3 linked regions of the Pelodiscus sinensis genome follow. The protein of the gene in region 2 interacts with the protein of the main gene of each other region in a biochemical or structural test. Links are inferred from orthologs where the notes say so. Each region holds a gene or a part of one and is shown on either strand. Other genes may lie near its edges. The genes, in order: HUS1, RHNO1 and TOPBP1.

The links.
Region 1: the proteins of RHNO1 (region 2) and HUS1 form a complex in vitro, tested with the Homo sapiens proteins (2 studies listed by BioGRID). The link is inferred for Pelodiscus sinensis from reciprocal best matches to the Homo sapiens genes RHNO1 and HUS1.
Region 3: the proteins of RHNO1 (region 2) and TOPBP1 form a complex in vitro, tested with the Homo sapiens proteins (2 studies listed by BioGRID). The link is inferred for Pelodiscus sinensis from reciprocal best matches to the Homo sapiens genes RHNO1 and TOPBP1.

Annotation. Positions count from the first base shown.
Region 1 is NC_134712.1:158,116,830-158,124,568, reverse strand, and holds the start of HUS1 (checkpoint protein HUS1), read right to left. Parts: upstream 3,010-7,739; 5' UTR 2,907-3,009; coding exon 2,855-2,906; intron 753-2,854; coding exon 625-752; intron 1-624. UniProt on the Homo sapiens protein: Component of the 9-1-1 cell-cycle checkpoint response complex that plays a major role in DNA repair. The 9-1-1 complex is recruited to DNA lesion upon damage by the RAD17-replication factor C (RFC) clamp loader complex.
Region 2 is NC_134711.1:125,751,636-125,758,575, forward strand, and holds the start of RHNO1 (RAD9, HUS1, RAD1-interacting nuclear orphan protein 1), read left to right. Parts: upstream 1-3,936; 5' UTR 3,937-4,311; intron 4,312-4,808; exon of another isoform or gene 4,809-4,861; 5' UTR 4,862-4,900; coding exon 4,901-5,068; intron 5,069-6,940. Other genes in the region: FOXM1 (forkhead box protein M1), read right to left, coding at 1,221-1,770. UniProt on the Homo sapiens protein: Involved in microhomology-mediated end-joining (MMEJ) DNA repair by promoting recruitment of polymerase theta (POLQ) to DNA damage sites during mitosis.
Region 3 is NC_134712.1:179,227,227-179,234,401, reverse strand, and holds the start of TOPBP1 (DNA topoisomerase 2-binding protein 1), read right to left. Parts: upstream 3,096-7,175; 5' UTR 2,965-3,095; intron 2,902-2,964; exon of another isoform or gene 2,700-2,901; intron 2,425-2,699; exon of another isoform or gene 2,402-2,424; intron 1,425-2,401; 5' UTR 1,424-1,424; coding exon 1,343-1,423; intron 191-1,342; coding exon 56-190; intron 1-55. UniProt on the Homo sapiens protein: Scaffold protein that acts as a key protein-protein adapter in DNA replication and DNA repair. Composed of multiple BRCT domains, which specifically recognize and bind phosphorylated proteins, bringing proteins together into functional combinations.

The sequences.
Region 1 (7,739 bases), on a different chromosome or scaffold from region 2:
CACAGGTTTCCTGTGAGTTGTGTGAAAAGTACTTCCTTATGTTTGTTTTAAAACTGCTGCCTATTCATGCCCTTGGGTGACCCTTGGTTTTTGTGTTATGTGAAAGGGTCAATAACACTTCCCTAATCACTTTACCCACAACGTTCTCCCTCCTCCTCCACCCTTAGTTGCCTCTTTTCTAAAATGTAACAGTCCCAATCTATTTAAGCTCCCCTCATCCAGAAGCTGTTCCATATTCCTCATCATCTCTGTTGCCTTTCTCTGCACTTTTTCCAATTCTGGGGCAATCAGAACTACATGCAGTAATCAAGATACAGACCCTACCATAACAAAAGACAGGACTATGCAGCACTTTAAAGACTAACAGGATGGTTTATTAGGTGATGAGCTTTCATGGGCCAGACCCACTGGCCCATGATATTTTGGTCTTGTTATCCTTCCCTTTGCTAATGGTTCTGCACGTTCTGCTTTTTTGATTGCTTATGAAATACATTATTACAAAAGTCTATACACCATTGTAGTCCCGCATAGAGTTTTAGAACAGCCACCTTAATATTAAAGACATTGAGAGATGTTTCATATACTATTAATTATGCAATAACAGCCTATTTCTTTGGCACATACCTGATTTAACTCACACCACATGCTGACCCCTCCATTTGCCACTTTATCAGAAAGGATGAAGTAAAGTTTGTCCACTGCAAGGCGTAGAGTGCATGTCTTGGCTAATTTGGCAATTGTGTTAATCACACCTATGGGATAACGTTTCATTAAATTAATTCCTAACACTTCTAGCATAGGCCAAAAAAGGGTTGCTTGCAATTTATGGTTTGCAGTTCAGTAGGAAAGAACATTATTAAAATAAATCTATGGAAAGTGGCAGCCCAAAACTTCTATATTTTGCTAAATTATCTTTTGGTTCTTTTCCCCCCCACACCCGTTCCCTCCACACTTTATTTTGTTTTGAGAGTAAAGGGAGATGAGGTAATATTTCTTATCAACTTCTTTTGATGAAAGAGACAAGCTTTTGAGACACATAAGAGCTCTGTGCAGGGCCAGATTAAGACCTTTAGAGGCCCCAAGCACTGAAAAGATTATGGTACCACCCCCCATATGTAATTCAAAATAAAAACAATACTATACTGTAAAATCTCAGGGTTTTTTTGGTTCCCCTACTTTGCTGGTGCCCTAAGCATGTGCTTAGTCTGCCTATTGGGTAATCCAGCCCTGGCTCTGTGGTTCAACAGTGTGTCTCTCTCATGAACAGAAGATGGTCCCATAAAAATATTACCTTACCTGACTTGTCTTGCTAATATACTGGGACTAAAAAGCTACAACTACACTGCACATAATTTTATTTTGTCACCTATCTCCTATCCCAACATCTAAACTATGAGGGTATGTCTACACTGCAACACTATTCCGAAATAACGTAGTCTGTATCTACACAGCAGTTATTTCAAAATAGTGTCAAAATACTGTCAATCTGGAGGACTTCTTACTCTGATTCCTGTAACCCTCCTATAAGAGGAGTAAGGGAAGTCAGAGGAAGAGTGGTCTATTTTGAAATAAGTGCTGTGTAGACACTCCCTAAGAAATCTGTGGTAGGAGCTATCTTCTTTATTTTTGTCTCTATACTGCTTTGCAAGATGCCCATTTGTTTTGGGTTCATAGGTGCTACCATTACAAACAGTAAACAAACACACAAACAAAAATGGAAGATTACAAAGAAAATCATTGGAACATAGGAACATGCTGTAGACTCATGGTCTGTCTACTGTATGATAGCCTACCTCCAGAAGTGAGCAAACACCTTGGAATATAGCAATCCCTTCTTCCCTCCCCATACTCAGAAATCCCCAGAATTCCTCACTGACATAATTCAGTTTTGGAGCATCACACTGGGCGCACAGGTTTGTTTTGCAACTTAGAAACTGCTAATGTGAAATTAAAAGGCGTATTAAAACTTGACTGATTTTTTTTCACATTGCAAGCTATAAATCTTTGTGAACACCATCATAAAGAAAAAAGTAAATACATGGATTTACTGGAAAACACTTTTGCTTAACAGAAAAACTATGGCGTTTGATCTGGATGTTATTCAGTCTGTGGCATCTCGTTATCTGGTCTGATCTACACAAGGAAAGGGACTGTCTTCTCAAACAGGTTTAAAAACTGACCTTATCATACTTTCTAGAGATACTCTCTATAATAAAATATATCAAGCCTGGGGAAGAACTAAGATGATTTCGGATCTGCAAAGAGCAGAGGCCATTTTCACAATTTTAAAATTTGCATTTTATTTATGTATAATTGAGCCTATTGGTTACAGTGCAACATGCCCTGAAAATATCCCAGATGGACAGATAGTCCCAGATCTGCCACTGAGGTGTTCTGAGAACTTCGGCAAGCAGTTGCACACATTTCTGTGCCTCGGTCTTCCCATTTGTTAAACTAAACAATGGCTTTTGGGAAACGATGTGCTGTGCAAGGGCCAAATGTGACACTGGTCTGTCAGCAGGCTTGGAAACTTCTCTCCCAAGCCAGCTAGCGACTGCGGATGTAGCTGCTTTACGTACAAAGCATTCTATGGCCAAGGACAGCAGCAGCCAGCAAGTCGAGGCTCATCAAGGGTCTGGTGCTTGCAAAGCAGCCCCGATTTACCCTGCCCGCGAGGATGCATCGCTCCCTGCGGTACAGGAAGAAGCCAGGGGACCCAACTGCACATTTCACCGAGACTTAAACACGCAGTGGGGGATGCGGGTTTTGAATCCCCCATTCTCCCAGCCCCGCCACAAACAGGCTCCCTGCCCGGAGCTCCCGCTGGCCCAGACACCCAGCCCGGCCCGCTCACGGGTGAAGTGGTTCAGGCAGGCGACGTCCACGATCTTGGCCCGAAACCGCATGGCTGCAGCCGCCCGGGCTGGAAGCAAAACAAACCCGCCCCGGCTGCGAGCCGCTCCGGGAAGCCCGGCCCCGAGCAAGCCAGTTCCGGTTCCCCTTCTCCCCTCCCCGCTGCCTCCTCTAACATGCGCCTGTGGCAGCCACGCGGTACGCGCCCGAGTCTCCCCGGCACTGGAGTCACTCCGGCGTCCCCCCGTGGTGGGGTCAGTAGAGCGCAGCTGGTGTAAAAGCGGCGCCGGTAGCAGCACAAAGGGGGTGTTTCAGAGAGCAATCACGCACACTCCGATGCACTCCTCTGCTGTATAGAGCTGGCAGTGATCCCTCTTCCCTTTCAAAAACAATGAAGAGCTAAAGGAAGTAGGGAAAAACTGGTACTACATATTAAGAGAGAGGGGAAAAACAACCTCTACCCATATAAAAAGGCAGGAGTTGGGAAAGCCCCACATAAGATTAGAACTGGCCCAAATATGAAAGGAAATAAGCATAAATTAAACAAAAGGGAAAATAGGTAACAGTTAAAAAAATGGAGGCTATACTTATGCTTGACTCTGCATTCTGTACACCAGTTTTACGCCGTTGTGAGTGTAATCACGAATTTACATTGGTATAAACTAGTGTGGCCATGTGGGGAACCAGGCCTAGAGAAAAAGGGAACAATAAACTGGGTATTTTTAAGAAAAGTTGCCTTGAAGGATAGGGAAAGCTAAATTATGTAATGTGAACACTAGATGGGGCTGGAGAGCTAGCTCACTCTTGGTTACAGTCTGATGGCAACCAGGAATGGTGAGTGGGCAGCATAAATGGCTTTCCTTCACCGCAGTGGGCCCCAGCAGCCTGTGGTCCACCTAGGTTCCACTTGTGGTCCCATGACCCACCTGTTTAGCTCTCCTCCCGCACACACCGTGGCACTGGAGATGCACACTTACCTGTTCCTTCCACTCTCCCAGCATTTTTGGAGTGATTTGCAGTGTTCCACCTCTGGGAAGGTGGGAGGAAGGGGAAGGAAGTGCAGGGCTCCAGTGCTCTGGTGTGTGAGAGGTGCATGGGGGTATATGAAACAATATGGTTTTTCAGTAGCCATTCTTGAAGGCCTGTAGAATATTGGAAGGTCTAACGTCTTCCTCTGCAGCCCGATTGAAAAGCAGCAGCCATTATCTGTAAAGTTTGGAGTCACATACTCACCTAAATTGCATTAGTGTCATACCAGGCTCTTAAGGAGATTCCATCTTAAGGGCACCCACTATCACCAGATAAAGAATCAGATCTCAAGATGGGTAAAGAAACAGCATTTCATCTGGCATTTCATCTGGCACACAGTAGTCGAGGTTGTGGAATCCTCATTCTATTATTATGGTCCTCACTCTCATACTGTTTCTCTGTATGATCTCTGTCTGGTTTTTAATTATTTCTGTCTGCTGTATAATTAATTGTGCTAGGTTTAAATCAATTGAAGTGGCAGAGTATGATTGGCTAGCTAATTCTGTTACAGTATGTTACAATTAATAAAATTTCAGTAAAATAATTGTTTACAAATAGTTAAGCAGGATTCAAGTTTCACTGTATAAACTGGAGTTCAAGAAGACCAGCAGGAAAGGGAAAAGGAAGAAAAGAAAAAGGAAAGACCTGGAAGAAGAACAAGTCACCTCCAAGACACAGCCCAAGACCAGAGCTGCTAGGATTCCTCTGCACCACCATGACAGGCCGTGCAACAACCAGGATCTACAGAAGACTGACCTTGCCTGGCCAACAGGGAAAGTTTGTCTGACTTTATCAGGATTGGTGAGCCTGGCACTGTATGCTTAGCATGTGTATTCTGCTTGCTTGGCAATTTTCAAAAAATAACAAGTGAGGATATTACTGTGTAAGGCTCTTTCAGTCGTAAAAGATCCTGCAAACTCGTGGGAAGTTACGCCCTAAGAATTGGATAAGTGTGAGCATTTAAATTAACAGGGTTACACCTTGAGCCCTAGGAATTGGGTAAAGTTGTGTGTCCCTAACATGTGGGAGTGACAGAGAAGTCTGTGCAGGTAACAGGGGAGAGAGGCAGCAGAGGGTCTGTGGGCTGCAGGTTGCCCGCAATCCTGATAAAAACAGGAAAACTTCTCCTGTTGGCCATGCAAGGTCAAGCTCATCTGGATCCTGGTTGTTGCACTGCACATCATAGTTGTGCAGAGTCCTGGCAGTCCTCATCTTAGGCTGTGTCTTGGAGGTGAGTTGTTCTTCTTCCAGGTCTTCCTTCTTCTTTCTGTTTCTTTCTTCCTTTTCCCTTTCCCGTGGGTCACAGGTTGCCCACCAGTCTCTGCATAATAATAATAAAAAACCAGCATTAGAGTACAAAAGGGATTATGCTGAGCTGACTCTTGGAATCATGCTTAAAGGCACAGGATCCAAGCTTGCTGCTGTTGAAAATGCTGTTATTATGTATTTGTATTCATTGTATGTAGGAATCCTAGTCATGGACTATGATTCCATTGTGGTAAGTGTTACACACAGAACAGTAAGACAGTCCTTACCTCAAGGAGCTTATCAGGGGTCTTGTATTCTCTTCCTCCCTATAGCTATCTGGGAAGGTGGTTCAGAGTGTAAAGAGGATGCCATGTAACAGGTGAAATAATTATAACACCAAGATAGAAGGAGAGAGAAAAAATCCTTCACCCTATAAGTTGGGTGGAGGAAGAGCTGTGGAATTTTACATGATAAACAATGACAATAGTGTGAATTTTCCAGCAGTAGGATCTTCAAGTAGCATAATTAAGCAACTCACCTCATGTGGAAACTCTCTATATCAGTTTTACATCATACATCAGAGGAGGCAGAGCCATGAGGCTTTAATAGCCATTCTTCTAGACACAATATATAACACTTGTCAGAAATGACAATGAGTTGCATGCTTGTGCTTAAATCACGTGGGCAAATGCTTTGTAGAACATACTGAGACAAACTCTGTTATAAATCAACGCATCTCAGGCCAAATCCAGGCTCCAACCCTGAGTCCTCTCTGGAGTTCCCATCCATGTAACACTAATCAGATCCCAAGTATCTTCCTTAGCAGCAGCCAGAGATCAATTTGCCACCAATGCCCACTCTCTGGGGTAGACTCCATGGTTCTCCCCCACTGCATTATCATTAGGGATGTTAAAATGCATTTATATTTGTAAATGTGTAACTGCTGAAATTTTCAGCAGTTACATGCAGAGGATGGTGGGATAGGCGGCAATCAATGCTCATAAGAGGCAGCAGCATCGGGGGTGGGCAAGCGGCTCCACAGGAGTCGGCATGCGCTGCTGCCTCTGATACAGAGACAGTAGCGCGGGGGCGGGCAGTCAAGCTGGCTTCCACCTGCTCTCCCCCAGCTGCTGCCTCTGTGGGTTACAGGTGGCTCCACAAAAGCTGGTACCCTTCCCCATGCGCACTGACCCCCATCTCTCTCCCCCATCCCATGCTGTTGCCTCTATATAGAGGCAGTCGGTGGGTCAGGGAGGCTGCATGTTACTGTGAAGGTTAACCGATGAGCCCAGGCTCATCAGTTAACCATGTACACGGGTACACACTGACATCCCTAATTACTATAAAAGATAGTGAGTGATACCACTGCAATGGGTGTAATATAAGAACGGCAATAATTGCCCCTGATGAAGTTGTGTTCTCCCCATATGAATGAGTTAGAGGAACCATGAAGGGTCTGGATACTCTAAAGAAACAAGCTAGCTCAGATCTCTTAAAATGGAACTGTCAGAGAGACAGGAACATCAAAGCTCAAAACTCCCTCTTCCCCCAAAGTCATTGGACTGTTCTAAATTTGCATAGGGATGCAGAGCCTCACAGCAGCTTTCACAGGATTAATGAAGAGCAAAAGTGTGCTTCAAGTCTATCTACACATGCCCTGTAACTAGTGCTGTATGCAAGTCCTTTGACTAAAACTGATTTTCTCCTTATTTTTTATTCTTTTTTTAAAAAGAATTTTGCATTTATATGTAGTATTATCTTCCAGTGCTATCGTTCTTTATTATTTTATCTTTTGTGATTCTATTAAAATATTTTAATGATTGTAACGTATATTAAAATAAATTCTTTCTTACGTTTTGTTTGGTTAATGCTGCTTACATTGGTTTAATATTGTATTTCTGTATTTAATTATGAAAAATGAAAACAATTAAACAAGAGACATGATAAATAGGAGGCAAAATGCCTGCAAAACCAACATCTATTTATTTTGTTTCTGTCAGCTGTTCTATGCACAACCCCATAGCTATTTTAGTAAAACAAGCTAGATGTAAATACGCCTTTAGTCTAAGAGCTGCAACACTCCAGGGATTAATAACTGAATCACGAGGGGGCCAATTCCATGATGTATTCAGTTTGCTCAACTCTTATTGAAGTAAATAAGAGCTGTGCTCTGCATTTTACAGGTTGGGGTTACAGTGATCTGAAAAACATTGCAGATGCTATTTGTATGCCATGGAAGCAATCTTTCTAACCACGGAGTCTGGTTGTTCAAATAGAGAAAAACGCAGTGTCATACATTCTTTCAAATTTGCAATACCTAACTTAGCCAAACTATCACAATGTTGTTTCATGGTCATTGGCTGCATTTTTGAGAACTGTCAGGGACTTTGGAAAACATTATACAGGAGTAACGCATATGGCAGATATATTAAAAAAAAAAAAAAAAGATTGGTACAGGTGCCTCCTTGAGCTTGTCATGAAACTAAGGGTACATCTATACTGCAGGGCTATTTTGAGATACCGGAGGTCTCCCAAAATAACTACTTTGTGTCTACGCAAGCCCCCTGGTATTTCAAAATATTTTTCAAAATACCAGGTATGCTATTTCG
Region 2 (6,940 bases):
CCAAACATCTTTGTCCCAGCTAGGGATGTAAAAACAGCCCAGAATAGTTAAGCAGTTAAATGATTTAACTGCAGGCAGTGCGGGTTGCTCTGGACCCGGCAGCTCGCTGTGGCAGCTGCTCCTGCACGCCTCCAGCCAGGCCCCCATTATGGGGTCAACAGATAAGCATGCTGGTAAGGTATATGTTTACTGGTTAACCTTTAACATCTCTAGGCCCAGGCTGAAAAATCCTCTCTCTTGTAGTTCTGACCCCCCCTCACTTCCCACTCTGTCACTATAGGCACTTCCCAAGTTACAAATATCTGACTTAAGAAAATCTGCACTTGCAAACACAAACGCACCTGCAGCCTCAGGGAACAGGCAGGAGGCACAGGTTGCAGCAAATAGCGCAAGTGCTAGACGGAGGACTCTGTAGGAATAGGGGGTGACTGTGCAGCTGGCAACTGAAGAGAAGCAGCACTTACTCCTCTGGAGTTCTCCTTCCGCATTCCTCCTCCATGTGAGTGGGAGCTAGGTGCAGCTCCCAGAGGGTAGGGGAGTGGGGTGGGGAGGAAAGGGAGGAATGGCTGGGAGGATGGGGGCTGCCAGAGCAGGCACTGAGCATGAGAGGGGAGAGAAAGCTGGCAGATGGGGATGGCTGCAGGAGCCAGCACAGAGACCGGGGAGGGAGTACAGTTGAGGGATGCCCAGAAGTTCCCTTTCAAATCTCCACTTAACTCCTCATCCTCCTTTCCTCAAGCAGCAGCATTCAAGGTTAAATGAAAAACTATTTCTATAATTTTTCATTGCAAATTTATAGTATTTCAGCTACATTATGGGTCACATAGGCTTTTGTGGGCTAGCCTGGGCACCTAACCACCATTCAGAATATTGTTTCTGTGGGAAAATGCACTCTGAGTTTCAAATAACCAACTTACAAACTTTTCAAACACAACCCTTTCATAAGCTGGGGACTTTCTGTATACCAAAATCCTGACCTGTAACATACCTTACCAACTCTCAGAAAAACCCCAGGCCCTAAAATCACTGACTTTTACTTGGACTCAGGATTTGAACACCTATCAGCGTACATATAAACCTAATATATTAATCACCTGGGTTGCTTGAAATTTCACATTTTCACCACTGCGCTCTCCTATATCAAGCAGAGCATCAATCCCCCATCTCTACCCACTCCACATTGTGCTGAAGAGTTCAACAGAAGGGTACAGCCTACGTACTGTTTCCTTCCTGTTCTTGTCCTTCCATGGAATTGACTTGTGGATGCCACAGTACCGGCCTTTCCATAATCCCAGGGTTTTGTCCAATGTTCTTCTCTCCATCCTGACAATCTGCTGCTGTGGCTCCCTTTGTTGCTGTGCTTGTCTCATCATTTGATTGGAGCTTCTGCTGAGTTGCTGGTGAGCCTGTGGGGAGTGAGTTGCCCCCACTGCTGATGAGAATGAACTTGTTGGGCCCATTGCTGCCACATTCTTTCCCTTTGGCTGTCAGAGCCTCGATGATACTCTGAATGTCAGCATCGGGAGGGATGACTACCACCTGGGTGTTTGTCATGGTAGGGTGATTAATGATCTTTATTCCTGCTGGGAATTTCTGGGTGCTACCCTCCACTCTGTCCCTGGATTTGTCCTCTCTGACCTGCTCATGCTTGGGGGCTCCTTTACTTTGCCCATCTGGTTCATCTCTCGCTGGGGTGTTGGATGAATTGCGATTTGGGAGGGACAGTTTTCGTCTCTTGAGAATCAGAGGCCTGCGAGGGCTGGTCCTCATGATTGATCTGTACAGTCACTCGCCATTGAAGACTGCAAGAACAGACCCTGCAAAATATAAGAACATGAAAGAGGAGCTGTAAGCATGGAACGTACAGGAATGGAATGAATTATCTCTATGCAAGGTACCAAATCAGCTGATGTATGAGGGGTACAGTGGTAATCCTAAAAGAGGAAGATTCCTCACCATCTGTCTTGTGACTAGAGGACAATCCCTATGCCCATAGGGAAGAATTGCATGCCACATCCATTGAAGGGAAAGGTTCCTCCTTATTTATTGATACACATCTTGTGAAAACTCCATACAGATGAGGAGCACTAATTGCATGATAACTGAATATCTCAGATCACACCCGTGAGGTTAGTGTTATCATATTTGTTTTATAGAAACACCATAAACTCAGAGCTTGAAATAGATTTGTTAGAAGCCAAGCACTTCCTTTCTTAGCACTGTGTAACTCAATTCACCATCATCTAATGTCAGAATAAATTTCTTAATCTGGACTTTATGGATGGTAAACAATTTTAAAGTTTAGAACTAGGGGAATCAATGACAAAACCAGAAATAGGGATGTGGAGATAGGATAATTGTTGCATTTATGGGAGTTGTGGCAAGTGGTACTTTGCTCTTGCACAAGAAATCTTCAGTGGATCTACAGTGCTTGCATTATACAGATAACGTATGGGAGACTAAGAATTAACCAAAATGGAGAGGATTTCACATCATTGGAGCGGATTAGGGGTATTAAATATCAGTTAATTGAATAGTCGATTAACCTCATGAATTCTTATTGGTTACTTGACTATTCTATAGTCCCTAGGGGTGGGGCTGGCAACCAGTGCGCTCCAGCCCTACTCCAGAAGAACCTCCTGACACTCTGTGCTGCTGCCTGTGTATAAGAGACAGCAGCGTAGGGTACCAGGCAGGAGCTGGCCCGTGAGGGGAGCCAGTTTAAAAAACAGCTCCCCTCACAAACTGGCTGCCTGTCACCCCACAGCGTTGGGTGGCAGCAGCTCCTGTCCGGAAGGAGAGGGGTCCGAGTTCCTGGACCTGGCGTGAACCAGAACTGAGCCAGGTTAGCTGCCCACTTGGCTCTTAATACACTTTAAATGTAGAGCCACAGCAGGGGTAGATCCTTGATCTGGCACAAGGCAGGACGTAGGCTACTGGCCAGCCTGCTAAAAAATTTATTGGCAAGTGTTGGGGAGTGGGGGAGGGGGGGGGGAGGATGCGTGTAGTCTGTAGCATTAACAGACAAGCTTTTGCTTATCGGTTAATAGACTACACTATTACATCTTTAGAGCCAATCCAGCCTGTTAGTAACAAAACATCCTCAGAACCGATAATTTGTAGGGCCCTGCAAATCCACAGATATCTGCTTTCTATCCTCGGATATCCGCTTCCACAGATATGGTTGTGGATATCTGCTGCTCATTTTTACAGCTATGGATCCGTATTTTGTATCCGTGCAGTACCCTAGTCATTTGTACGGTCATAAAAGGGTACAAACAAAACTGACAGAAAAATAAACTAGCCCCCTTCCTAAGTGATAGAGGCAAGTGACACATCCAACCCTGGCCTCTGGAAGGAGGCGGCTTCACGGGACGCCCTGCAGCCACTGACAAAGGCCTCGCTGCATCCTGGCTGCGGGTGGTAGCTCTGCGCTGTCACACACACGCTGGGAATTCTCACCTGCTCTTTCCCCTGGCCCCAGCCCCTTCCCCCATCCATCTCCCCACAGGCTCTCCGGCTCCTAGAGCCCCCAGCCCGTGTTTTCACCCCTTCGCCCTGCCCCCCATGGCCCGCCGGTGCCCACCGACCCCCTTTCCCTTCCTAGTGGCCCCTATCAGTCTCCCCGCCCCGGCCCCGCTCCCGCAGCAAGGCCCCTCCCAGCCCGCTCTCACCCCGGTGTCGGTGGGGGCAGGGGGTCGCGCGCCCCGCTGCCTCCCCGCGGGGACCCGGCACCGCCGGGCTCCGCAGCTCTCAGGGCACAGAGGCAGTTCGTTTCGTTTCCCGGTTTGAATTTGGCGCCTGGCGGCCCGTTGGCATCACGTGCGAGGGCGGGACCAATGGAGATGAGGCCTGGGGCCAGAGCGTTCCATCCGGCAACGGAAGTGGCCAATGAGCGCCCGCGCCCGGCGGTGCTCGCACACGCCTGACCCCTGGCAGGAGCTGGGATCAGACCCGAGGCCGGTTCAACCCCCCCACCCGGCTCCCTGCGCGGAGCAGCGTCCGCGGGGGCGGGGGCGCGGCCGTAGGAGGCGGCGGCGGCGGCGTTTGTCTCGGGGCTCTGCCCCCGCTCTCAAACGGTGGCCCCTGAGCGCCTTTGCCGCTGCCCTCCCCGCCGCACCTGCTCTGTGCTCCTGGGCCTGCCGCCCGCCCCGCCGCTGCAGCTTGGAGCAACCGGCCAGCCAGTGATGGCGGAGTAGCCGCCGTGTGCGAGAGACAGCCAGCCCCGGAGCAGCCGGGCGGGCGGCGTGTGCGTTCAGCTGCCGGGCTGTGCGCGAGAGAAAAGTGCCCAGGAGTTACTGGATGCCTGGGGTAGGGCATAGCGAGAGCACCGCGTATGTGTGTGTACACGCCTGTAGATAAGTAGAGCAGCGGACCCCAAACTTAGCAGGGTCGTTACCTCCTCCTCCCCTGTCTGCACCCTCCAGCTGGTGCGGCTGTGTGGACTAGGTAACCGGAAAGGGCCACGGCTAGGGATGGTGGAGCAGCATTATGTCAGTTCCACCTTGCTGATGTCGTTTAGTGAGGATCTTCCCAGGAGCAAGACATGACTGGATATACTCAATAGGGAGGACACCCCAAAAACCCAAGACCATGGGGAGAGGCACCCACTACAGACTATATCTTGTGTAACACCAAGAAAGCTCTGATTGTGTCCCTAATGGGAGTATGGCTGAGTGGATGTATATAAAAATGTATATTTCCATTTTTTATTAGACTTTTTTGGAGGCAGATCAGAAGTGTGTTCTATGTAGGAAAAAACAGTTGCTAGGTTTGACGACTTGACATCCCTCTGTTGCTTTCTGCAGATTTGGGTACAGTTTGTCATCTCTTTCCTCTTCTCCCTAACTGGCTCCACCAGGCATCATGAGGTTTCATAGCGACTTTCTTACCCTTTTTGATGCCTCCAAAGAAGAAATGCATCCACCAGGCTCACAAGACACAACTGCGATTCCTTGAAACTCCAATAGAGGGGCCTACACATCACTATGGATCTCCATTGCCTTTGGCTGAGAACCCAAGACGTGTTTCTACCAAACCTCTTGACCAAAATGCTTCCGTCTCATGGGTAGGTGCAGGTTTGTTTTCCTTAGTTTCTTATAGTAAGTGTTCTCAGCCTTCTTATGCATATCTTAATAAAGAATTGTTTGGAGTGGATCTTGGACATGGATTACACACACACTCCCCCCCCCCCCCCCGCCTGGTTACAGTGTTACAGTTGCTTCAGATCCCAATCTAGCAGTCACAAGCAGCCTGAGATGTATTTTAAATTAGCGCACTCACATCTAAATGGGAAATGGTGGCCACTGGCAGAGTTCCCTGTCTTGGGAACTAGCATGGTGGCATGAAAAGGTTGGGATCCATATGAGATGGGGATTCTTTTTGGCTTTTATGATAACTGAAAACCTTGGAAATGGATAGTAGAATAGTTACTGTTTAGTTACTCTTTATTGGATTTGATATTTAAACTACAGCAATTATTTCAAACTGTTTGGTATAACTCTCAACTCTCCAGCACTTAAATGTGACAACTTCCTGCTCAACTATGATACAGAAATAGAGTCTGCATCTTAATTGTGGTTCTCTTATTTAATATTCATGTATTAATAATCTCAATTTTGTAAGTTTGCCTATCTATGGTCACCCCCCAATGGAGTTAAATGTGGGTTAAAATGGATGTTATATCTTGTAATGTATATAGTTAAAAGGTGGAATACTTGATGTAAAATGATGAGGCCTACTTCCACAGATGCAGTGTGATAAGGAGCAGGTGTCTTCCCTTAGTTAAGCTTGTTGGTGAGAAATGCAGTTTCAAAAAGCCAGTGTATTGCTTGGAAACAAACAAGTATATGCCTGAGGTCAGTGGGAGTCTGTTGGAAGATCAAGCCTAAGGAGTGGATGTGTTTGTTTTCAGAGGCTTTAGCAGAACTACATAGACTACAAACCAAGAATCAACAGCAAGAAAAATGGTACTACTGAGAGAGTTGTATTTTCTAAAAAAATTTAAAATTGTGTTCACTTTTCACTGCTCATGTACTTTATTGATGTCTTGCATTTCATTCCTGATTGGACAATGCTGGTCAGTTTTACTGTTACACTTCATTTAGGTCAGTGCTCTTTTTGTGTGTGTGGTGGGGGGGGGAGTTGTCAACACCCCAATGAGCTCTTTAAAGAAACATGTTTTCATTGATAACAAATCTCAACTATTTGTTTTTCTGTTACATATTGTTAATGTAATATTACTTGGTTTCAATCAAAAGAAAATGTTGGGCCTGAAGTAAACCAGCAAATAGATCATCTCTTCTGGAAAGCAGGGTGATAATGCAGGCTACAAGCAGACACTATGGCGAAGATATCCAGGCAGCAGATTTTTGAAGCAGTTTTCTATGTACTTTAACCCTGCCCTCCTTTTCATTTTTGTGTGTGTTAAATCTTCTGCTTTTCCTAACACAACTCTTCCAATAGACTCAAATCTTGTTGAGAGGACTGCTAAGTTTCTTTTCACTCAGTCCTAGGATACTTTATTATGATATGCACATTTGCTTAAAAAATCTTGTAATTGTTCTGTAGGAGCTACCTGTCTTTGCAGAAGCCATTACCAGGCAGCTCTGTTAAATAACAACACTTAGGTCTCAAAGCTTTATAACAAAGCAGCCCTAAAAGATTTCAAACTTTAATGAGGAGTCCTGTGGTACCTTAAATGCTAACAGATTTATTTGGGCATCTTGTTCATTTGCAGCTGACAAAGTGGTTTTTACCCATGAAAGCTTATGCCCAAATAAATCTGTTGGTAAGGTGCCACAGGACACCACCTTGTTTTTGCAGATACAGCCTAACATGGCTACCCCTTTAAAACTCATATGAAACACTCCACCAGCCCCAGAGATCTAGATTTCTCTGTTTGATTTTAAATTTATTTTTGTATTTTTAATAGAGCATT
Region 3 (7,175 bases), on a different chromosome or scaffold from region 2:
AATCATTCCTTAGAAAGAAATAGGCCACTTGTAAGTAATATAGTACGTAGCAAACCTTTTTGAGATGACTAAAAACAATGCCACTAAAAGGGTCACAGATGTAAAGGGATTTGTCATTTTCTTTTATATTGAGTGCTGGTGCTTCTTCAACAATCTGAAGATATTCTTCGGATTGAAATTCTTTTATGGACTGCAAGAAAACATGGAACAATATACTTAACTTAAATTCAAAGATAAAACAGTTAAGATAAATCTACCTATGGCAATTGCAAAACATATACAGTTGAAATTACTTACAGCAAAATTACTACAGAAGAATCTACTTGCAGTGCAACTAAACAAAAATATAATATTATTTCAATCCACTGCAATGTACAGGGTACACATTTTCATGTATTGGACATTATCTTGCAAGATGATGAGAACCTTCTAATTCCCACTGACTTCTCAGGGGAGAAATGACTTAGCACCCTCTTCAGTACTAGCACGGAAGAGGGACCTGAACCCTCAAGATTGCACCTCATTCTGTTCTGGGACCTGCTGAATGCCTTCTACAATCACTGATCCCAATCATTCAAATACTAGCTATCAAAGCACAGCATTCAATAAGTTAATTCAAATCTTGCAGGACAATTTGTTCCTGGAGGAAGTCAAGGTTCTTAATTAAGTTACGGATGTCACCAGTTAACATCAGCAGCAGCCTGGCTAAGTGGAAGTAGCCCCCACCCAATATAGGCAGAGGCCTGCTCCAGCCCTGCTGGTTCCACTGTGCCATGCCATGAGCTGGGGGCACTCTAGCCTGGCCAGGCCCGCCAGGCTGTGGGCGAAGAAGAGGGGCATGCCAGCTCACAAGATCCCTGTTAATCAGGGAAATGTAACATTTAACCAGTTAACAGATTACACCGGATTTTAATTTGAATCGATCTTCAAATTATTTCAAAATACATCTCACAGTAGTAAGGGCCATGCCAGGCAGTGACTGTCTCCAGTACTAGGACCAAAGTACTGAGTGCTTCAGCACCTTTCCAGAGGCACACAGCTCCTTAGAGAACTGGTTTCAAAACAATGATTTCACCATATGACTTTTTCACTGTATTAAGTGGAACTAATCCACTGTAATTAGTAAAAAAAAAAAAAAACTGAAGTACATAACAGAAAATATTGATCCTTGCTGTAGAAAGTTAAACAAGGCAACTGTATTATCTAAATTAATATCTAATATTGCATCTGAGAGAAACAATGCAGTTATTTACAGATAAATATAGTAAAACTAAATATGAAAGTAATTAGAAAGAAAAGTAAATTCAGGAAAACAGCTAACAGTGGTACCAAAAGTTCTTACCTCAAGAGCTTTAAAAAAATATTCAGAGTTGCCAGAAGACTTTATAAATTTAACAAAAAATGGCTCCTTGTCACTTTTCATCCTTTAACAAATGGATGAAGCAAAATAAGCTTTGAAGTATTATTTTTCATAATAACTGTTATGTATTCAAGACTTGTATTAACGAGATGTTCCTAACTTATTTTTCCACATAAATTGTTTTTTTTCTGAATTTCTTGAACAAATGTATCCAAGCATTAAAAATCTATTCCCTGTAAATGTCAGTGCTACTAATTTGCTCATATATTGCCCCTTATAACTGTTGTACATAGGTTATCACACTTCATTGCACCATGACCCCTTTTTACAAACATTACTACCTGACCCGAGAAGACCGAGCCTGCTCCAAACCCTGCTGCCCTAGGCTGGGAAGGAGAGGAGCAAAGGCAAAGTCTGAGCCCCACTGCCACGGGGGAGAGTGTGGGGGCGAGGGGGGACAATGCTGAAACATAGGTAGGAGGCCTGTCATCTGAACTCCACTATCTAAGGCTGAAACCCTGGGTCATGACACTGCACATGGGAGACAGGGGTTGGGTGTTGGCCTCTGTCCCCAGCAAGTCTAATGCCAGCCCTAGCAACCCCATTAAAACAAAGTCCCAACCCACAGTTTGAGAACCGCTGCTGCAGTATGTAGATGCTCAACACATCTCAGAGATCACTCTCTCTGATGCAGAAATAGAGCAGGGGTGAAGATTAGGTAACCTCTTGACTTACTCCTCCAACCCTTTACTACCTGGAGAATTTGCTGGACCTATAAGGAAGGACACAAGTGTTTCTTGAAAATTTGGTGCTTAGGTGGCTGCTCAGGAGAGCTTCAAATACCAGCCTGCAGCAGGGCGCCAACAGCCAGGTTTTTGTTTCTACTAGTGGACACATTGGCACGTGTCTCGGTGCACATAAAACATTTATTCCACACATGGATGGGGGAAAAAAATCCGCACTCGGGTGGAAAAGATTAGCGGGGGCGCTGCTAAGCACCGCGCCTTGCACAAGAGCGCGGGGGAACAGGCTGAGACTCACGGCTCCGTAGGCAGCTCTGCTCAGCGGCAAGCCCGGGCTGCACGTTCCCGGGGTCTCCCTTATCGGTCTGACACGGGGCTCCCCCGCCCAACCAGGAACACCCCGCCCGCCGCCGCCGCCTCCCCCCGCCCCAGCGGCCAACGCCGCTTGCCCCGCCGGCTCCACCCCTCACCACAGCCGGGGGGCGGGGGCGCCGCAGGGACCTGGGGAGTCGCGCGCCTCTCCCCGCGCGTCACCGTCACGAGCCCCCCCCCACCCGCGCGGGCAACAGCCACTCGCGCCGTCGCGGATCTGTCACCTCGGCCCCTCCCGCCGGGCTGCGCCGCGTCCTCCCGCTGCTCAGGGACCCCCTCACCAGCCCTGCCCGTGGAAGGAGCCGAGTCGGCCGGGTTTGCTCCCCCCCAGCCTAGGGGAGCCCGGAGGGGTCAGCGCGGGGCGAGGTTACGGATGCTGCGGCCTCGCTCCCACAGGGAACCCAAGATTGGCGGGAAGACCACCAGACCCACACTGCGCAGGCGCGGGCTCATCTCTGTCACGTGACCAAGACGGGAGGCCCGGCCCACCTCTTAAAGGCGCTGCGAGCGGCGCGTTCTAAGTGGATCCGGCAACGGCAGTTCTGCTGTTGGCTGCTTGGTCTTCTTCCGCCGCCGGCGTCACCAACTTGCGCCTGACTCAGCCGCGCGACGCTGCGTCCCTGCGCGTTCTGCGCCCGCCCCGCCCTGGGCAGCGCCAGGGGCTGTAGGGGCCGCTTGGGGGGGGCGCGTGCGCGTGTCAACGCCTGACGGTGCCCCCCTCCCCCCGGCTGCCGCACGCCCCTTGGGACTGGAGGTGGCGGGGGGGGGGGGGCTCACCCCGCCCTCACTCTGCCGCTAGCGCGCGGGTCTTTCCTTAGTGGCCCTGGCCCGACACAGCGCGCGGGCTCTTGTGCGGCGGGGGGGTGAACTGGGCAGCCTGGGCGCTACAAGGCGACTCTCCTGAGCCCCGCCCTGGGTGAATGTGGGGGCGGGGTCTGCGCTGGTTCCAGTCCCCGCGGAGATGCAGCGTCCGGTCCTCGTTTCCCTCCCCAGCAGAGGGCGCTGCAGCTACACCAGGGCTTCCAAACGTAAGTGCGGTGAGAGCCAGGTTCCCCTGTAAGCGCTGCGGCCAGGTGTTTAGAGCCCTGCCGCTCTTTCAGGAGACCACACGTGGTGGGAAGCTGTGGCAGCCACAGGAGGGCCAACTCAATTCCTCCCCAGCCCACCCTCAACTTGCTGCAGCCAGGGTCACCTGGCACCAGCCTGGCCCTGTCAGGTGGGGTGGCCCGGCCTGACTCTGCCCCCCGGGGTGGCCCAACCCTGGACCTGATCCTGGGGCAGCAGCCTGTCCCCAACCCCAAACTTGCCATGGTCTAGAGCAGTGGTCTCCAACCTTTTTACACCCAAGATCACTTTTTAAATCTCAGAACAGGTGAAGATCTACTGCCCCGCCCCTTCCTTGAAGCCCCACCCTCTCTATTCTCCTCCTGTCCATCACTTGCTATCCTCAGCCCTTACTTACACGCTCTGATAAACAGTTTATTTTTAAATTATGTGATATATAAAATTAAAATAATGTATTTATAGTTATGAAATAAATGGTCTGTTTTTTATTCATGCTATTTAAATCTAAAATGAAGCATTTATAATTATACATTTTGGCTGTGTCTAGACTGGCAAGTTTTTCTGCAAAATCGCATGATTTTGCGGAAAAAGTTGCCAGCTGTCTACACTGGCCGCTTGAATTTCCGGAAAAGCACTGATGATCTCATGTAAGATCATCAGTGCTTTTCCGGAAATACTATGCTGCTCCCGTTCGGGCAAAAGTTTTCCGAAAGACTTTTGTGCAAAAGGGCCAGTGTAGACAGCACAGTACTGTTTTCCGCAAAAAAGCCCCGATCGCGAAAATGGCGATCAGGGTTTTTTTGTGGGAAACCGTGTCTAGATTGGCCATGGACACTTTTCCGCAAAAAGCCAAAGTCGGGAAGCCGACACTACCTCCATTTTCACTTGAGATAGGTAGTGGGGCTTTTCGGGGGTAGGAGGGAAATGGGGGTGGGGCGGACAGGATGCCTCACGATTGACTGGTCAATTGCAATCGACCTGTTGGTGACCATGGGCCTAGAGCTACTACTTTGGGGAGACAGGCTGTTTCCCCAGTCCAGGTGCTTCTGTAAGGCGAGAGAGCTGGGAGTGTCCTCTCTCCTTGCAGTAACCTTAGGTTAGGTCTACGCTCGCGGCTTCTCGCGCAAGTACGGCCATTCTTGCGCAAGAATTTGCAGAGTGTCCACACTGCCCACCCGATCTTGGGCAAGGAAATTTACAGTATGGCGTGGTAAGAGAGGGTTCCTTGCGCAAGAGTTAGGCTCTTTTTTTAACAGGTGTAAACCCTCTTGCGCAGGAGCTCTTGCGCAAGAGGACAGTGTGGATGCTCGGCAGGGATTTCTTGCACAAGAAAGCCCTATGGCTAAAATGGCCCTCAGAGCTTTCTTGTGCAAGAGAGCGTCCACACTACCATGGGAGCTCTTGTGCAAAAGCACACCACGCACATGGCAGTGTGGATGTTTTCTTGCGCAAGAAGCTGCCTGTGTAGACATAGCCTTGGAGAATGGTCCTTCACCCCAAACTCCTAGGCTGTGTCTACATTGGCGCTATCTTGTGCCAAAGCGGCTGCTTTTGCGCAGAAACATGCTGCCTTTCTACCCTAGTGGTGAGTTCTTGCACAAGTACACTGACATTCTAATGTGTGAAATCAGTGCTTCTTGCGCAAGAACTATGATGCTCCTGCTCAGGAATAAGCCCTCTTGCACAACTGTTCTTGCGCAAGAGGCCAGTGCAGACAGGCCATCGGAGCTTTCTTGCGCAAGAGAGCATCTACATTGGCACGGATGCTCTTGTGCAAAGGCACATGCCAGAGTAAACGCTCTCTTGCGCAAATACTTTAACACAAGAACTCTTTTGTTAAAGAGTATTTGCACAAGATCATGCCAATGTAGACGTAGCCCCACTGAACCTTGTCCCAATTCAAAGAATGTTAAGAGGCAGATAATTGACTAATTATGTACTCTATACAATTTGTATTGAGCGATTAGTTGATAAGGGCAGTTCCTATTGCATTTAAAAAGCAGAGCTGCAGCAGGAGTAGGTCCAGGACCTGGTGCGAGCTGGGACTCAGCAGTCCTAGCTTGTACTGGATCCTGGACCGCTGCGCCTTTGCCTCCCCTTTCCTCCACCTTACATTGTGGAGGCAATGCTGTGGAGAACTGGCTTTTAAGCTGATTCCCCCCAGCACTGGCTCCTGCTTCCGCCCCCCCTCCCCCCGCCCTTGCCTCTGATAGAGAGTCAGCAAGGGGAGGGAGAAGCAAGTAATCGAGTAGTGACTCCACTAGCCACTTAGTCCCTATCCACCCCTAGCCTGTATGCCTGTCTGGAGTCCTTACACCTTTGCACCCCAACCCTTTATCCCAGCCCTATACTGCTCATTCCTGGCCCCACCCCAGATCCTGCACCCCCAGCCAGAGCCTTTCACCCCAATCCTCTGTCCCACAGCTGAGTCCCCTCCCGTACAATGAACCTTTATCCCCATCCACCACCACATGAATTTTGTTATGTGCACCAATATAAAGTTGATGGATAAAACATCACGGCTACGTCTAGACTGGCATGATTTTCCGGAAATGCTTTTAACGGAAAAGTTTTCCGTTAAAAGCATTTTCGGAACAGAGCACTTTTTTGTGGAAAAGCATCCGTGGCCAATCTAGACACGCTTTTCTGCAAAAAAAACCCTGATCGCCATTTTCGCAATCAGGGCTTTTTTGCGGAAAACAAATCTCTGCTGTCTACACTGGCCTTTTTGCGCAAAAGTTTTTCAGAAAAAGACTTTAGCCCGAATGGGAGCAGCATAGTAGTTCCAGCAAAAGCATTGACAATCTTACATGAGATTGTCAGTGCTTTTGCGGAAATTCAAGCGGCCAGTGTAGACAGCTGGTAAGTTTTTCCGGAAAAGTAACTGCTTTTACGGAAAAAGTGGCCAGTCTAGACACAGCCCACCTCCATATTGATAAGTATAACAAAATTCTGCCTAAAGATGGAAAAATTAGAGGCAACACTGATTGAGATGCCCTCATGACAATAAACCTTGCTACACAACCACAGGAAGGGGGGGGCAGTACATGAGTCCTTCTGCCATAGGGTGGGTACGGTGGGGAGGAGGGAGGCAATGCTAGAGCCCCATGGGTGTTATGTAAGGAGGGTAATGCATAGCCACAAAGGCTTCAGTACCCAGCAGGTGGCCTGTAATTTGAGGCACCCTGCACACAGTGCTGAACCCCTTGGGCTTTGGCCTCAGATACTGAGACTTGGAATCCAGCCATGGGCCACAGGTAAGCCTAATAACAGCCTCTGGCAGATCCATTAAAATAGTCACAACCCACTTTGGGTCACAATTAATAGTTTGAGAATTGCTGGAGTAGATGATGTGTTGCATTTGTATGGTTTATTAGGGCTCCTTCATGCTTCATGAACTATCTAAAGCACCTCTGAATTGTTACAGTTGGTTGGATGGCAGTAGCCAGACAGTTCAGCTGTGAGAAAATACTTTATCAGCAATAGCAAGGCAAGCCCCTACTTTTATAATATGCTGTGCAATCTGTACATGCAATGCCAACAAGCTCATTTTTGTAAAAGGTGTCCTATGTTCCTAGCTTCCAGTCTCTTTGGTGCTCACCTGAGTACTGCCATCCTCCTTTGGCTTGGCTGGA